Ovis aries: one gene and its partners. The protein of the gene in region 1 purifies or fractionates together with the protein of each later gene. This does not show direct contact. Links are inferred from orthologs where the notes say so. Each region holds a gene or a part of one and is shown on either strand. Other genes may lie near its edges.

Region 1 (4,405 bases):
GTCTGTATTCTGGATTTAGATCACAAGTTCTTTGAAGATAGAAACTGATCTGAACTGAGTACATAGCTAGGTCTATTGAGCCACTTAAGAGGATTGGGACCAAACTGCTGTGGACCTCAGTTTCCTCATTTAGCAGATGTGTGGGTTGCTTGTCAGATCTTTAAAGTCTGTATGACTTGTAACATTCATTCATTCAGCAAATATTTGTTGAAAACCTATTACGTGCCACACATTGTGCCAGAAAGTGAGAAGGGACAGAGTGAAGGATCACAGTGGGCAGCAGGGAGAGAGACCAGCTTTGGAGCCAGACAGGCCTGACTCTCTGAGATTTTGCTCTGCCATGTACATATGGCAAAATTTGGACAAGTCACTGACTTCTTGAGCCTCAGTTTCCTTACAGGTAAAAGGGGATGTGTATACTTAACCCAAAAATCTGTGATGACTATTAGAAGCTATGTAGTGTGCCCTGCACAAGCTAATAAAATGTAAGTAGACTCCTCATCCTCCATTCACTTCCTCATGTACCTTTCAGGGAAAAAGATACACGTTTTGGTAAATACTCAACACACAAGTCAAAGCAAGCTAGGTGTCCCTGTGCTACGTGTGAACTGTGCTCTGTCCTGTCTGGCTCTTTGTAACCCCATGGACTGTAGCCCACCAGACTCCTCTGTCCATGGGATTTCCCCAAGCAAGAATACTACAGTGGGTTACCATTTCCTCCTTCAGGGGATCTTCCTGACCTAGGGATTGAACCGGCCTCTCCTGCCTGTGTCTCCTGCATTGGCAGGCGAATTCTTTATCACTTGAGCCACCTGCGAGGCCTCTAGAGCACCTGGGAGGTGTCCCTAGAAGCACAGAAATAAGACAGTGCAGGTGGGAACTGAATTCTTAGCTGGGGAATCCAGAAAGATTTCCAAGAATGCCCTTTGAAGGATGGGTAGGAGTTGGAAATTCCGGGTAGGGAGATGGAAGGTAATTGCAAGGTGGAACCAAGTGCCCCTGAATCTCAAAGGTTCTGAAAGGTCTCCGAGGCTGGGGGATGATGCTGGGCTGTACTTACTGCGCAAAGATTCTAAGAGGGTGGGGATTTCCCGCAGCCCCTTCCTCCGGCGTCCCCGAAGCCGCTTTTCCCAGTCCCGCCTCCCACGGGACACCACCCAGGTGGTGTAGGCGCGGGTGGCCGCTCAGCCACGGGAGGGCAGCAGCGGCCCTTTCCTGACCCCACCCCGGGCGCCTCTCAACTTTCCCGACGCCGGTCCGCCCGTAAGAGCTGGAAGGTGGCGCTGAGGCAGAGTCCTCCCGGGTCCAGTTCGCCGCGCCTAGCCCCGCCGCCCGCTCCTCCGCAGTCCAGGCATCTCCCGGACCCCGCGGGCCAGCGCCGGGCTACCGCCTGGGGCCGCGGGCGGGGGCCGGGGGCGGGCGGAGCCGAGAGCCGCCCGGCCCGCCCCTCCCGGCCAGTCGCCCCTCCCCGCCGCGGCGCTGGAGGAGGGCGGGGCGGCGGGGCCCCGCGGGTCACTCTGCCTCCCGCACCCGCAGCGCAGCTGGAAGCGGCGGAGCGGAAGGTACCCGGGTTGGGGCTGTGGGCGGCGGAGTCCTGGGCATTGGTCCCCGGCAGAGCACTTTCCCTCTTCTCCAACTTGGCTGGAGCTCGGGGCGCCGGCCGGGGAGGGGCTTTGGCCCGAGCGCGGGCCCCTTCCCTCCCCTCGTACGCGGCGTCTGGGCGGCGCGGGGATCCGGACGGCTGGGCCTCTCCCTGCCCTCCTGGGCTACTGTGGGGGGCGCCGGGAATTGTCCCGCAGGGCCTCTCGCCTCTAGGTGTCCGAGTCGAAGTCCGTTCCCTTCTCTCGGCTTCCCAGAACCTGCTTGGCAGGGCGAGGAGGAGAGGGGGCAACTTGGGTCTCCGCGAGGGAGCTCCCGCGCAGATGCTCAGCTCCCAAGTCTGGCGGCCCGCGGTGGACCTTGGCTGGGGTGTGAGTTGGGGCCCGAGTCCGGCTTGAGGTGGGAATTCCCCCCCGCCGGGCCTGTGAAGTGGCAGGAATAAGGGTGGGGTGTGACCGCGGGGGCTGCCACTGCTCCGGGGTCTGGACCTCGCCCAGGATGGTTTCTGGAGCCGGCCTGGAGTGGAGGTACGGGAAATTGGGAAGGATCCAAGCCGTTTGTGTGTGTGCGTGTGTGCTGGAAAGCTTGAGATGATTGAGGAGCTGTTTCATCCCAGGGAAGGCCCCAGGAGTTCGACTCATACCACGTCCTGTGGGGTTTGGTTGCCCCTCTTGAAGTCAGTGGGGCAGTTCCTCAGGGGTTGCCTCTCACAGGGAGCTGTTGTCCTTGCTGTCTTGGCCTTGGGCCTGGTGTCTTGGCCTGGCCTGGGTCTAGGACCCCTCTGAGCTTGAAGGGAAAGTGTTAAATGAGCTAGGGGAGGGTGTGCTCCAGATCATTCCAGCATGCCCCTGCCCTGGAGTTCTGGCCTCTGACCTGCACCATCTGGTGCTACCTAAACTGCCCTGCTGGAGTGGGAGAGGGCAGTGGCAAACTCAGAGCTAGGCAACTGGTATTCACCCTGGTGGTGAATGCCCTCCATCTGTCCATCAACGCTGCCTGTGCCAGGTTGGGGCTACTGCAGCCTGTCTTCCCTCAGTTGGACCAATGGACTTGTGGGAATGTGAGAGGGAGTTGGTCACTTGGGTAGAATTTTCAGGAGACCCCCTTTTCTGAAGGATGGTTTCCATTTGTGGAGGAAATCAGCTGGCAGGGTGAATGCCTTCTTGCTTGCCTTTTGGGATATCAGAAAGCCCCTGTTGTGGTGTTAGAGAGTGGCTGTGCGCTCAGCTCCTATAAATTCCATCTGATTCACATCCGCTTCCCCTCATCCCAGTGTTGTGCCTGTGTGTGTAGAGGGGAGGGAGGCCACCCGGGATCCCACTGTTGAAGAGAACTTGCCTTGGGCTGTAATATTCGCTTCCAAAAAGGCAGACCAGGGCTGGGCTGTGAGGTGGTGGTGGTGGTGTGTGGGGAGTGAGGGAGCTCAGCCTAGTTTGACAGGATGTGGGACTGAGAGAAAAAGCCAGGTTTGGGGCCGAGATCAGATTACCGTCCCCTTCTTTCTTAACCACTCCCTGTGTGGCTGGCGCTGGAATTGGCCTTCATTTGTCTCCCTTTTGGAGTTCCTCCCAGCGCCGGCTCCAGCTCCCGCTCCTCCCCACAGCCTCAACTTCATCTCAGGCCCGAAGCCCGCCCTCTCTTCCTCCCAGGCTGGGGGCCTGGGAACTCCAGCCGGCTGGAGGTCAGCTCCTCTCCCCAGGGAAGGAGGAAGTGAGGCTCAGCTTCAGGGGCAAAAAGAAGCTGGCAAGGTGTGATGAACTGTGCAGCTGCCCTTCGGTGTGTGTTGGGGGCAGGGGACACATGGAAACCCCGGGAAGCTGACTCCTGGCCCTGAGTCACAGGGAGGGGTGGGCAGGGCCTCAGGGTGAGCTGGACAGAGAGGAGGAAGGGGCCGTCCCAGGGAGTGGGTGGAGGTGATTCCCTAGTGGATTATTCTCGGTCGCTCTGCTGCCGTAGATGTGTGGCTCCCTACAGTGTGGTCATTGTCCCCTGCCTGGGGCTGAGTGACCCAGTGTTGCTGCCAGGCTCAGGAGGAAGGGGGAGGCAGGCAGCCTGCCCAAGTGTGGGCTGTGGGCACTGCCTGGACTGAGCCTCCTTTGTGTACGCGGGGCCCTGGGGACTGGGATGGGGTGGGCCAGGGAAGCTGGCTGGCCGCTGCTGCTGCCCTCCGTCTGGGTTCCCCTTGCTCTGCTCTCCTTCCCACCTCTGGGGTGATAATGTAGAAAAGCAACAGACTCTAGTCACACAGCCCTACTCTGAGGGCCTTCTCTGCCATGACTCCGAATTCCTCTTAGCTTCCATGAGTCTCACTTTCCTAGTTTGTCAAAACAGGGAAGCTCACTACCTTCTAGGCTTCTGGGGACAGAGGGAGTGATTTTTGTCAAAATGTCCAACGTAGAACCTAGCACCTGCTGTTTGGTCGCAAGGATGTATTGGACTGTTTTGTGACCCCATGGACTATAGCCCGCCAGGCTCCTCTGTCTACTCCTACCTCTGGAGTAGGTAGCCACTTCCTTCTGCAGGGGATCTTCCTGACCCAGGGATCAAACCCGAGTCTCCTGCATTGCAGGCAGATTCTTTACCACTGAACCACCTGGGAAGCCCTACCTGGCGTCTAGGTTATGATAAATAGTCTTTCCTTACCCACCCGTATCAGTCGAACTCTTTGTTTTGCAGTGGGCAGGCATGATTTGTGCTGAGTGAGGGACAATGTGTTCCAGATTGGACCTTTGTAATTATTAATCTTTTGAAAGTATTGAAATCCTGGTAACAAATAAGTCCGACTTTAAACTCTGATATGTAGAAT
Region 2 (4,346 bases), on another chromosome or scaffold:
ATGCACTGATGCTAACAGACATACACTTACCCCTTAATTGCAATATCTGTGATAATACACTTCAGTATGAAATGAAAGCAGAAGGTAAGCAAAATGTATAGCTCAATTACTCAATGCAATTACCAATAACTGCATTCCACAAGAATCTAAAAAGTCAAAACCTAAACAACCCTACAATAAAAAGATAAACAGATGTCCAGGTACTGGGATAATAGTAGTAAGGATAGAACTAATATCATAAATACTAATATAGCTGCTTTGCCCACTTTGAAGGATTACCATGAGACTCAGGCTATTTTGCCATACAAGTAGGGCTCAGATACTAATCCGATGTCACAGTGTCAAAAGCTGGGCTTAAACTCTCATCTTCAGATTTCTTTGAGAAAAATAAAAGACGACAAACAACTCCTTCTTAGAGCCACAAGATTTTATATTGAAATCAACTTTAGGAAACACTCTATGCTGCTTTCCCCAGGTCACCAATGACTGAGGTCCCAGAGGCAGAGGGTTCACCCCAGAAGGGGAAGCCAGTAATGCCGGAGCAGGACCCAGGCTTCCTAGATCCCAACCCTCTCAAGGATCTGAATCCTCTAGGCAGGCTTTTGGATTTCATTAGAAACACATGGGATAGCAGTGACTTCCTGAACTCAATTTCAGTCATTACTTGTCCCTAAAATTGCACTTAGGGCAAATTGAGGACCTTTACTGGTAGCCAGAGAGCTCTCTTCAAGCATGACAGAGAACTCCCTCCTTGAGAAAGAAAGCTGTTTCCAACACTATTACATATGTTATTAGGAAAATGGAGCAGCTAGGTGGCTCAGAGGTTAACGTGTCTGCCTGCAATGTGGGAGACCTGGGTTTGATCCCTGGGTCGGGAAGATCCCCTGGAGAAGGAAATGGCAACCCACTCCAGTATTCTTGCCTCGAGAATCCCATGGACGGAGGAGCCTGGTGGGCTACAGTCCACGGGGTCGCAAAGAGTCGGACACGACTGAGCGACTTCACATAACATACATAACATAAGCGTGAAAGAGGAAAGAGATCTTTTGGTTCTAATTTTCGGAGTCTGCCTCAGGACAAAGGCTCTTAAGAGCTTTTTCTGGGGATGGAGCTGGGGAGACCAGGTATGGGCTTGACAGAGGGAAAGGGGTCTAAAAATTGTATTCAAGCTATTTACAGGGAATGGAGAGAGCCCGGCACTGTGAAACCGGTGACCAGGAGGGAGCAGCTGGGCCCAGGGCGAGCATCTGACCACACCTACTGGCCACGCCCTCCCAGCTGCCCGCAGGGCCACGACGAATTGAAACAGCAGTGGGAGCAGTTAAGATTCCGACGACAGGAGTCGCCATGGCAACAGGATTCATCTTGCAGGCAAACTCCGCTTCAATTCACTAGGTCCTTCCCGAGCCTGGGGAAACTACTAGCTCAACGGGAGCAAAACGGTCATGGGTGGCATTTACTCTTAATACTCTCCTTGAGCATCCTGGAGATAGGGGGCGAAGGGTGAGGGGCTCGGTAGTGAACGACGGTTGAAGTGTATTCGATCCCTGGGTCCACTAAAATATTTTATAGGAACGAGAGGCAGAATACCCCAATCGCAGGCTGAGAGCAACTTGAGAACAGAGCCTTTAGCAAAGGTTTGATGAATGAGTAAGAGAAAGGATAAGGGTGCTAGGGAAAGGATATCCAGAGGACTTTATTATATAGAGTTCATGGGCCTCGCACACGTCTCAATGCGGATCACAAGCAGTTGGATTTTCACCACTAGCTGTGAAAACCGATCACCCAGCCCTTCTGTTCCACTGCGACTGTTATCATTAGATTATTCAACTCTCCCCACCGCTTTACCACCGCCCAGCCAGCGCTCCGGGCAGAGGCTTCGTCCTAGCTCAAGTGCTCCTGGTCAAGTGAGCCATCAGTGCAAGGGGCACCAAGGTGTGCCCTACCCAAAGGGACGGGAGGCTGGATCGCCCTGTGGCGCCTCGAACCCGGTCCGCAGGCTGCGCAGCCTCCCCTCACCGATGTCCGCAAACAACCCCTCGCTCTTTCCGCAACGTGGGTTTCCCTCCTCTTTCTCATTTGAGACCTTGAGCTTCCAACTTCGCCTAAATTACAGTCACCCCATCCCTGTCGAATGAGTCTTGAGGCGAGGGTCCCCGGGATAGCGGGGATTCTGCTGGGACGCGAACCAGTAAATGAGTCCCGCCTCTTCGGTTACCACTCTAACAAGCCTACCTCGGGATTCTCCCTTCCAGAGCCTCCCGGGCCAGCAACTCCCGACAGTAGCAGTGCCCGCAGCACCCAGCAGAGGCCAAGAGCCCCAGAGCCCCAGCGTGTCATCAGCAAGGCGGCGAGTGGTACCCTGCTGGCTCTCTTGGCGTCCAAGCGCCTCAGAAAGAAAGAAGGGAGGCAACTCTGTCCTCGGGGCGCCTTCCCCCGGACTCGCCTTGCTTTGAGCCGCGCTTGCAGCCATTTTCCCAAACCCAGCTTGGCAGCTGGGAGCTGTCTAGGTCCTGTTCCCACCCAGACCCAACCTGAAGGACGGGTTTAATATTTACCTACTGGCCCGGGAGCTCCGGGAAGACAGCGGGAGGGCGTGCTGCGAACCCAGCACCGGGCCGCGAAGAAGCGCGCCCACCCCCGCGCCACCGCGCGGTGCCTCTTAATGAATGAGTGCGGCGGGCGACGCGGCACGTCCCCCTTACCTGAGCAGCCCCTGCATGCTGAAAAGGCGGCTCTGCGCTCCGGGTACAATGGGATCCGGTTAAACAGTTTCCTTCACAGCCGCTCGTAGGTTACCAACTCGCAGGTGACATCACCCTCTCCTCGCCTGATAGGATACAATGTGGCGCCCACTGCGCATGGACTCCCGGGCTGGGCCCGTGTACTCCTGGGAATCGTAGTTAACACTCCACAAGCAGAGCCTGGATAGCTACGCTTCTGAGGTTCTGAAAACTACACTTCCCAACAAACTTCAGAGCCTCTTCGTCCCCGCCCCTATTCCCGCCCCCTCCGCGACCCGCCCCCTCCCCGCCCTCCAGCCTTGCAGTAGTAGCGGTGGTCGTTCAGGAGCCGAGTTGCGGACTGCGCGGGCAAGAGTTGGGGGGGAAGCTCCCTGAGGTCGTGCCCTTTGACTTGACCTCCTCTAGGCCCCGTGCGGTCTCTGAGGGACCAGCAGGGTCCAGGCTACTGCACATCAGCCAGGCAACTCTGACCAACCCAGCTCTATTGGCCCCAGCTGGGAAGAGATTAAGCCTTTCACTGTCTTCCCTCTGCGCAGCAACTAACGAATAGGACACTCTGGTTTCTGGGTTAAATGTGATCCTGGAATTCCCCAAGTCCCGGACGATGAAGGACACTGACCCCGAAGGAAAGAAATCTCCCCGTGCCCCAGTTGGTACAAATCACCTGCCTTCTCTTTCCTTCTCCCATTTAACGGAGTCAGGGTGACCAGCCAGAACTCGGGGAACAGCTTAGTCGGCTGAGCTGACAGAATAACGCAGGGTGTCAGTAATAAAAATGCAGTGTAACAGACTAGATAGTCGCCGCAGCCCTTCGTCAGGGAGCCTGCTGCTGCTGCAGAGATAATACTATCGCGCAGCCATGCTTTTGTTCTTCTCTGCAGCAGACTTCCCGCTCTCAGGGCTCTGAATTTGCAGGAAGACAACATCCTTGCCTGAAGTTTTAATAAATAACACATATGTATACATGTACTCTTAAATGCACACACTTTCCGCTCAATGTATATACCATACTCTTCAAATTTTTGTATGACTTCAGCCAAACAACACATCATGCTGTTCAGGAATTACTGTGATATTAATAACTTATATGTTTAATTTAAAGTAAGCAAAAGGTATGTGGAATTCCGAACCTTCAGGAAAATTTTATTTTTAATATGTATATTTTTCCCATGGCACTTTATATTACTCAATGATCACCAAACGTTATGAAAAAGTAACATTGAGAGTAAATCTTTAGGTGTCTTTTTAAATGAAAAATAAATCAATACATCCAGTTATTCCAGTTGTAAAGGTAAATTGTAATGGCATTCAATATCTTAGTCACATTTAAGGATTAGTTCACACCCCTGTTTCCACTAGCAGAATGTCTAGAAGACCACGGTTTGTGGGGAGGGGGCGGGGAATCACAAAATTTCAAACAATTCTCCACCTAATTGTTGGTGAAAGTCTTATCACTCTTATTTTCTCATATCATTGTGCAAGAATAATGGGGTTCAAGAGAAAAATATTCATGGAACTAACTGAGGCTCTCAGGAAAGAGAGAAATGTTTTGTTTTTCTGAGGGAGAGATTTTAGCACTAAATTCTGATTTTCTTTTAACAA
Region 3 (4,036 bases), on another chromosome or scaffold:
AACTTCCTTGGGTTAGAATATAAAATTGCTTCCCAAGCTTTCAGTTTTACATTATTGTATGTACCTACTGATCACAAACTAAACCAACATACCACTGAAGACAGCAGTGTAAAAAGAAATAGCTTGCCTGGTGGCTGCTCCAAAACCCATACCTCTTAAGACAACTCAACTTTTTTTTTTTTTTTCGAGAAAGAGAGAAGAGCAATCATAGTGTAAATATACTTCTCTGTTCCCACTTCTTCACACCTCCATTACCTCCCTGCTGCTGCTGCTAAGTCGCTTCAGTCGTGTCCGACCCCATAGACAGCAGCCCATCAGGCTCCCCCGTCCCTGGGATTCTCCAGGCAAGAACACTGGAGTGGGTTGCCATTTCCTTCTCCAATGCATGAAAGTGAAAAGTGAAAGGGAAGTCGCTCAGTCATGTCCGACTCTTAGCGACCCCATGGACAGCAGCCTACCAGGGTCCTCCATCCATGGGATTTTCCAGGCAAGAGTACTGGAGTGGGGTGCCATTGCCTTCTCCGCTATTACCTCCCTAACATCTACCAACTCAAACGTTCTTCAGAGTCCATACTTACAGGTTCACAAGTTCACAATAATAGATGGGTTTGCAGTTCAACAATTAATTCAAAGAGTTACTGAATATCTACTATGTGGAAAGCACTGTGGAGGGCCCAAAAATCATTAAGACACAATTTTCATCTTCTGGAACACATGACTAAATGCACAACACACACACATATAAACAACTCCATTATAAAGCTGATTATATAAGAGCTCAAAAGCTTCCAACAAGGTACAAACAGAATGACGTGAGAGAGTAATTTAGTCAAAGTATACCTGAGAAGCTTCAAATGAGGAATGGATTTAATTTTCTTTGAAATCAAGTAATAATATTCAAGATTTTCAAGATTATTTTTAAATTATTTTTTCAGTAGTACTGCAATAGAATTTAATTTTTTTCCCACCGAAATGGTACTGATTCAACATGCAAGTTAAAATTTTAAACAGATTTTTATTAGCTCAGCTTGAAACATGGTGAAATACAGTTTATAGGCCAACTTGTGGCCTATAATTAACAGGAAAAAATTTGTTATGTTCAAGGGGAAGACAAACTATGTCTCCAACAATCTGAACTAATATTCTACTCCCAGAGAAAGGCTAGGTACATATAAATGGATCACTCAATTTTTACAGAAATCTCTTCAGCATACCAATAGGACATTAAAAAGAAAAAAACTGAACAAGAGAAAATAAAATTCTGGGTCTTAGATTCACTTTTCATTCATACCACCTCCTCTTGTAACAATGACCTCTTCCTGATATACAGCAAAAGATCTGAATCAGAGCCTGGAGCATTTGCTTTTTAAGCTCCATCCACACCATTTCTAGATTTAGACACTTCTTTGAAGATTCTGAGTTGCCATGACCTAACTCTGGACGTGCTGAGTACTGTATTGACAGATGAAAGGACCACACTCATCTGAAGCTTAAAATAACTTGCAGGGAAGGGGTGGGAAAAGTCCAAGTTGATATATGCCAATGTAGCAAATTCTAAAAAGAGGAAACTATAATAGACAGGAATGGAAACAAACTGGGGAACTTGGAGAAGCATGGTATTCCAAATTGCTACCATTTAAAAAAACTTTGGTCTTTTAATTACATTACAGTATCCATAAGACGTTTTTGCAATTACTGAACTTCAAAATTAAGCAACATACTGTGAAAAAAAAAAAAGGATAAATTACATGCACTTTTATAAAAGATACTTGCTTTTAAATATCCAAAACTCTTGACATTAACAAAAAAATAACTAAAATCAGATTATGTAGATTTCGACAAGGGAAGCCGGGAAAGAATAACGTGTAAGTTGGGTAACATGTTACAGGGTGCAGTTTCCTACTACAGTAGACAGGCAAAAGAACCAAGAAAATGGGTTGAGCACAGAATACTGCTACACTGCAGCCACTCAACACTAATTCAACAGCTAGCGGGCTCTATCCATCCTTCCTCACGGTCCTCGTGGCCTCTGACAAGTCATCCTTTCAACCTATGAGACTGTGCGCTCTCCCCCAACAAATATAAATTCCCGTGCAGGTTGTAAAATCTCCCCCACAAACTACATGCTCACACCTCCTCGCCTTGGGATGAGCAGTTCCCACAGTGGGGAAAGGTCGCCCTGGCAGGGAAGTTGGGTGAAGTGGTCTTTCTCGCGGTCCGACCCGAGCCTCCAGCCCAGCAGCCGCTGGGGAAAGGAAACGGGCGGCCACCGAAGGAACCGGGAAGGGGCAGCGGATGCGAGCCCGCAAGGCAGGCTCCGTGGTGCCCGCTCGGGCAGGAAGAATGGAGGAGGGGAGGCTAGGCAGCGAGGTGCCCGAGAGGCGGGCGGCGATCCGCCCCGCGGCCAGACCCCACCCCGCACTCGGCACCCTCCCAGTTCGCGGACCCGGCGTGCGTTCCGCGTGCGCCGACTCTCCCGGGAGGAAGAGCCACTGCCTCACACCCGTGGATTTGAGAAATCAGGCAACTTTGCGCGAGAAATGCTTCCCACCCTGCAACACACCGAGAAAGAGAAATATGTCAGGCGATGACGGGGGAGGAAGGATGACTTACCCATGTTCCTCCCAGAGGGTGAGGAGCCGGCAGGGCGAGGCGAAGGTCTCCGGTGCGGGCGGCGCGGCGCTGTGTCCTCCGTCTACCTCTGTCTCTCCCGCAGCCAGGGAGGGACCCGCGGGGGGCGGCCGCCGGGGAGGAGCAGCTGCCGCTGCTGCTGCTGCAGACGGCGCGGCCGCGGCGGGGACGAGCGGCGGGGGGCGGGGCGGGGTAGGGCGGGGCGGGCGCGGCGGGCGCAGCCTGCGGCGGGCGCGGCTCCGAGCGGGCGGCGGAGGCGCCGAGCCCAGCCGGAGGAGCGCCCGCCCCGACGCGCCGTCCGAGAGCGCCCCGCCCTCCCCACCGAGCATGCTCAGTGCGTTCCCCGCCCCCCCACGCCTGGGGCCAGTGAATCCGAGCGTGCGGGTGGGCGTGTGTTTGCGGGCCGGCTGCAGCTGCGGCGGAGGAGCTTGATGGCGGCCGCCCGAGGGTGAGCCTTCAGAGGCCGAACGCCGGGACGCCGAGCCCGAGCTACTACACCTGGCTCTCTACCATGGCTCCCGCCAACCCACACCCGGAAAACGGGCCCGTGTTCATTTCGGGACAGTCTAGGTGCACCGGCGGGAATTTCCCGAAGGAGGAGACGCTGGGCCTTCTTAGACCCGGGAGGGTGGTCGGGAAGCAAAGCGGACGTTCTGAAATGAAGGTGGAATGGACGTGCTGGCCATGAGGCCAGCGACTCTGGAGACAGATACCTGAGAACGCCCGTTTTCAGAGCAGCCTATGGGCCCGCTGGGCACAGAGCAAGGAGGCGGCCGCTGGGAGGGCGCTCAGCATTAGGACTGTCTTGTCTGTGGCCAGTTTTAAAAAAAAAAAAGGTTCGGCAAACGAGAGGAGTGACCGTCCCGGGATTTCTTCAGAAAGTGTTGTTCTTCCAGAGGAGTGCGGCCTTCCGTTCCCCGGAGGACACCTGAAAAGCTATGTAACTAGGGTGCCCTAGCCATGGGGCGCCACCCTGCCGGGATGTGCCCGGCTCCCTTTGAACGCGGCAGGCACAAGGTTGCCAAAGTGGAAAATTAAGTCCGCAGAGTTGCCTGCGGCCCCTCAGGGTACATCGGTCGGAGTTTTCCTGGGTCCGCGAGGCCGCCCAACAGCGGGGAAAACCTGAGCCTCGCGGTCCCTAGTGAGGCGCCCTCCCAACTGGGCATGCGCGCGGGGCGGAGGCTGGTCTTGGTTCCTCTGCCCTGGGAGAGGAGGCAGGGGGAAACCTATTTCGCCGCTCTGGTTGGGGTGAGGAACCTGGTCGCTCTCCCGAGGCAGCAACTGCAGTCGTGCATGGGAAAGGGCGCTGTCAGCAGCACAACCTGTGAGAGGGAGATGACAAATAGCTAAATGGAAATTTCTTTCCTTTTTCAACTTTTACTCATTATATTCAGTGTTTAGAAAA
Region 4 (4,228 bases), on another chromosome or scaffold:
CAGCCTGTGAGGATCAGAGCCTCCTGCCCACAGCACGTGCATAAGCTTGGAATGCTTGCAGATCCTGAAACCAGGTCCCTGGCTCACAGTTCAACCACAACCTCACTAGACGAGCCAGAACCACCGAGCGGAGCTCTCCCTGATCCTCGGTAAGGACAGTGTATGTTGGTCGTTTCAAGCTGCTAAATTCCAGGGTTATGTTTTTACACAGCAATAGGTGACTAATATAACAGAGTTAGATAGTTTTCAAAAAGCACTTGGGTTATCGAAAAACAAACTTTTGCTCAGTCAGCGATTGGGCAATGTAGCAGGACGCAGGATGAGTGCGTCGGGGACTAGCCGGGCAGTTTTCAGGTGCGCCAACAGGAAGCCTCAAAAGTGTGTATGGAATAAATACAAGATTGGAATGCTCTGCCTTTGGCCAACTCAACTTTCTACATGTTAAGCTGACCATGTGACTCTTCATTACAGAAAACTCGCAAATATTCCCCCAAAGTTAAGACATTTCCAAAAGATACCAAGGTCAGTATTTCACATTAGGTTCTGTGACCTAAAACGCCCCCACCACGTGCAATCCAGGGGTGTGTGTTTGTGATGACTCGGGTGTGAAGCATTTGAGGTCTTGCACTCCGCGAGGAGGAGGCGAAGGAAGAAGAGATGCATGCTAGACCGGCGTTGGCAGCGCAGGCTCCGCCAGCCTGGCTACAAATCATAGGCCCGGCTTGGCGCTGCAAAATCCTCGCTGGTTGAAGGCGTGGGCATGTGTCCGATAGTCGCCACGCCTGGTGGCGTCTGGGCTAGGAGCTCCCAAAAGGGCGACCGCATGGTGACTTGGGCTGGAAGGGGAAAGGCCTGGAGAGAGCTATTTGGACACCCGTGGATGAACGTTCGACGATAACTTCCGGGAGGGCGGACATCGGCGAGTGGGCGCGAAGGCAGCCTAAGGCCGGACAGCTGCCACTCGCTGACCTCGGCTACTTGATGGGATCGGCTGTGCCGGCTCGTCCCCGCGGCGTGATGGCAGCGGGCCCTCGAAGGGAGAGATGCCCGCTGACGGAGACGCGCCCGTGACACACGCGCGTCCCAGCACCTCGCAGAAATACCATGCCGCGCTCAGGTTTCTCGTGGCGCTCAGCGAGACCATCTCACTTCCCCACCCCTTCAGCTTGCCGGCAGACTCCTGAGGATACCCGGGACTAAGAAAAGCCTGTGGCAAAGAGCACAGGAGCCCCAACCGGACAAGTCTCCTTTGCCGCGCTGCCCAAACGGACGCGCCCACGAGGCCGGTCCGCAAGATGGCGGCGGCGCGCTGCCGGCAGCTCCTCGCACATGCGCTATCCGCGGCCCGCCCGGCGCGAGCGGAAGTCGCGTGACCCCGGAAGTGGCCGGCAGGGCGCGCGCGGGCGGGGCGGCGACGTTCGTCATTCTGTGCGGGAGGGAGCGCGAGAGCGGCGCGGACGATCCTCCGGTGAGTGCGGGCGGCGAGGCCAGCGAGCGCGGTGGGCACGGCGGGCGAGGCGGCCGCGGGGAAGGAGGCCGGGGCCGCGCCTTTGTTCTCGCTTCCCGCCCCGCCCGCCAGTCCCGCTGAGGGAATCTGCGCAGGGCGGGGGCGGCATTGACAGCGGGCGGCGCCCCGGGCGCAGGGCGGGCCCACGTGCGATCGGGGGCGCGGGGATCTGGAGGCGGGGGCGCGTGTGCCGGGGGTGGGAGCCGGGGTCTGTGCAGACCTCTTTTGTGGTCGCTGCTCGTACTCGGCAGCCCCCTGCTTGCTGGTGCGCGCGGACCAGGGCCAGGCGGGACGCCTCCTCCCCTGGGAGGTGAGGTCCCTGCGCCCCACCCTGCTTGCCGGGCCTCGCCTGGCCCAGATTGCAGGCCCTGCGGAAGTGCGGGCCTCGCCATCGCACTTAAATGATTTTGTCGCCTGCGGCCGCGCTTGAGTGACGTTAAGGCGTGAGCCTTCTAGAGGAATTCCAGAGGAAGCTGCAGGGAAGCTTGGAAAGAACGAGCCGGCCCCACCCTGCCTGTGGCGGCCGGGCGGTTCCGGGTCCCCAGCGGCCCTTTGTAAGATCGGGTCCTCACGCACGTCCCGGCATTGGCTGTCTTTACTGGCAACCGGTGGCCCTGACCCACCTCCCACACCGCCGGGTCTAGTCTGAGTCGGTTTCAGGTACTCCTCAGGGATTCTGCGGGGTGCGACGGTCATCCTTAGCGAAGGAAGTCCTGTGGCTGCCCCATCACTTCTCGCTTTGACAGCATTGCTCTGGGCTCTTCTGGGGCCCGGGCGGAAGGAGGATCTTGAGACTACCCATCACATGGCTGCAGCAGTTCTCAAATTCTAGGTCACAGACCCTCACAATTAGAGATTGGTTTGTCGGACAGGTAGGGTCTTTTAGGCCATTTCAGGACTTACCTGTGGGACTTAGGCTAGCCCCGTCATCTGAGCTCTAGGGGAGACCTGTGTTTGGGCTGGAGGGAGACATGACTGACCCATGTCCTGCACAAAGGCCTTGGTTTGTAGCTGGGGCGTTTTTGAAGGAACAGGCTGGTCAGAGAGAACCCAGCAAGAGGGTTTCCTTGAGGAGAGGGCCTAGGCAGCTCAGAACAAGAAGCAGCACTTGGTCCTGGTGCTTCCTGGTTGGACCCAGGTGCTGCTGCTTCCTGGGCAGCAGGGAAGCTGTGCCTGCTTTCCTTTCATTTAGCTCTGGATGCTGGGGTGAGGTCCTGTGAGGTGGGCAGGGCGAGGAGGTGAGTGGCCCCTTTGGGCTTCAGGAGCCTGTGTCTGGGCCTTTTATGAAGTTCTGGCTGTCACTGCCTTCCTGTTAGAGAACGTGCACCTCCCCTTGGGCCCAGGTTGGGGGTTTGGCCACTTGCAGAGAGCCAGTGCAGACCACCTGCAGGTCCTGCAGAAGGGCAGGTGGGGACACACTGTGGGTCCCTCCAGGCTGCCGCAGCCCCTGCTACTCTGGTCACAGGTGTCTCACATCCAGCTAGAGGTGAGTATGGCTGAGCAGGAGCCCACAGCCGAGCAGTTGGCACAGATTGCGGCAGAGAACGAGGAGGACGAGCACTCGGTCAACTATAAGCCCCCGGCCCAGAAGAGCATTCAGGAGATCCAGGAGCTGGACAAGGACGACGAGAGTCTGCGCAAATACAAGGAGGCCCTCCTGGGCCGCGTGGCTGTGTCTGCCGGTAAGTGGGCCCCGGTGGGGTGTGTGGACACCTGTCGCTTTTCTGGGTGTCCGCCACTATTTCCCCTGCTGGCGGAGCTCTAACTTGCTGTCACTCTGCAGACCCCAATGTCCCCAATGTTGTGGTGACCCGACTGACCCTGGTGTGTAGCACTGCCCCGGGCCCCCTGGAGCTGGACCTGACAGGTGAGTGGCATCTCCAGGTTCCTCGCTGGGGCTGCCTGGCACCCTGCTAATTCCCCTAAAAATAATTTGTTGAGATGCTGGCGCCCTCTTGTGGGGAGCCTAGGAAGTGCAACCAAGTGATTTTAATAAGGCTCTGGCTTTGGTGTGGCCTGGGATTGGAGGGTGGGGTGTGTGTGGGTGTCTGGGGTGTGGCCTGGGATGTCAAGGGGTGTGTGTGTGGGTGTGGGTGTGTGGGTGTGTGTGTTTGGTGTGGCCTGGGATGCCGGGGGTGTGTGTGTGTAGAGGGGCAGACAGGGCACCCCACCAGGGCCGGAGTGGCTTCCCCTACCTGAACCTCCTAGTGTGGCGTTCCTCTCAAACGCAGGTGATCTGGAGAGCTTCAAGAAGCAGTCTTTTGTGCTGAAGGAGGGTGTGGAATATCGGATAAAAATCTCCTTCCGGGTAAGGAGGAGGCTTGGGGGGATGCTGGGGGCTCGGACTGGAGAGTCTGGCTGAGCCCCGCTTGTGTGCCTCCTTGCAGGTGAACCGAGAGATTGTGTCCGGCATGAAGTACATCCAGCACACGTACAGGAAAGGCGTGAAGAGTGAGTGCGGGGGCACCAGGAGGGAGGTGGCCACCGGGGGCTCAAGGGGCGCCGGGAGGGAGCGGGGAAAGGCCCGCCTCAGCTCCCTGACGGACGCCCTCCCCGTGCCCCACAGTTGACAAGACTGACTACATGGTGGGGAGCTATGGGCCCCGGGCGGAGGAGTATGAGTTCCTGACGCCCATGGAGGAGGCGCCCAAGGGCATGCTGGCTCGAGGCAGCTACAACATCAAGTCCCGCTTCACAGACGACGACAGGACTGACCACCTG

The links. Proteins that work in one complex are often made in the same cells at the same time.
Region 2: the proteins of RHOC (region 1) and DAAM1 purify together in Homo sapiens (affinity purification with mass spectrometry; 3 studies listed by BioGRID and IntAct, counting the BioPlex papers as one, with this or other methods). This does not show direct contact. The link is inferred for Ovis aries from reciprocal best matches to the Homo sapiens genes RHOC and DAAM1.
Region 3: the proteins of RHOC (region 1) and RAP1GDS1 purify together in Homo sapiens (co-immunoprecipitation; 3 studies listed by BioGRID and IntAct, counting the BioPlex papers as one, with this or other methods). This does not show direct contact. The link is inferred for Ovis aries from reciprocal best matches to the Homo sapiens genes RHOC and RAP1GDS1.
Region 4: the proteins of RHOC (region 1) and ARHGDIA purify together in Homo sapiens (affinity purification with mass spectrometry; 4 studies listed by BioGRID and IntAct, with this or other methods). This does not show direct contact. The link is inferred for Ovis aries from reciprocal best matches to the Homo sapiens genes RHOC and ARHGDIA.

The regions. Positions count from the first base shown.
Region 1 is NC_056054.1:90,100,169-90,104,573, reverse strand, and holds the start of RHOC (rho-related GTP-binding protein RhoC), read left to right. Parts: upstream 1-1,514; 5' UTR 1,515-2,126; intron 2,127-3,296; exon of another isoform or gene 3,297-3,375; intron 3,376-4,405. UniProt on the Homo sapiens protein: Regulates a signal transduction pathway linking plasma membrane receptors to the assembly of focal adhesions and actin stress fibers.
Region 2 is NC_056060.1:69,528,448-69,532,793, reverse strand, and holds the start of DAAM1 (disheveled-associated activator of morphogenesis 1), read right to left. Parts: upstream 2,806-4,346; 5' UTR 1-2,805. UniProt on the Homo sapiens protein: Binds to disheveled (Dvl) and Rho, and mediates Wnt-induced Dvl-Rho complex formation. May play a role as a scaffolding protein to recruit Rho-GDP and Rho-GEF, thereby enhancing Rho-GTP formation. Can direct nucleation and elongation of new actin filaments.
Region 3 is NC_056059.1:26,856,839-26,860,874, forward strand, and holds the start of RAP1GDS1 (rap1 GTPase-GDP dissociation stimulator 1), read right to left. Parts: upstream 2,806-4,036; 5' UTR 2,618-2,805; coding exon 2,614-2,617; intron 1-2,613. UniProt on the Homo sapiens protein: Acts as a GEF (guanine nucleotide exchange factor) for the Rho family of small GTP-binding proteins (G proteins) that stimulates the dissociation of GDP to enable subsequent binding of GTP.
Region 4 is NC_056064.1:50,520,085-50,524,312, forward strand, and holds the start of ARHGDIA (rho GDP-dissociation inhibitor 1), read left to right. Parts: upstream 1-1,423; 5' UTR 1,424-2,167; intron 2,168-2,253; 5' UTR 2,254-2,379; intron 2,380-2,972; 5' UTR 2,973-2,999; coding exon 3,000-3,189; intron 3,190-3,290; coding exon 3,291-3,374; intron 3,375-3,738; coding exon 3,739-3,815; intron 3,816-3,894; coding exon 3,895-3,958; intron 3,959-4,073; coding exon 4,074-4,228. UniProt on the Homo sapiens protein: Controls Rho proteins homeostasis. Regulates the GDP/GTP exchange reaction of the Rho proteins by inhibiting the dissociation of GDP from them, and the subsequent binding of GTP to them.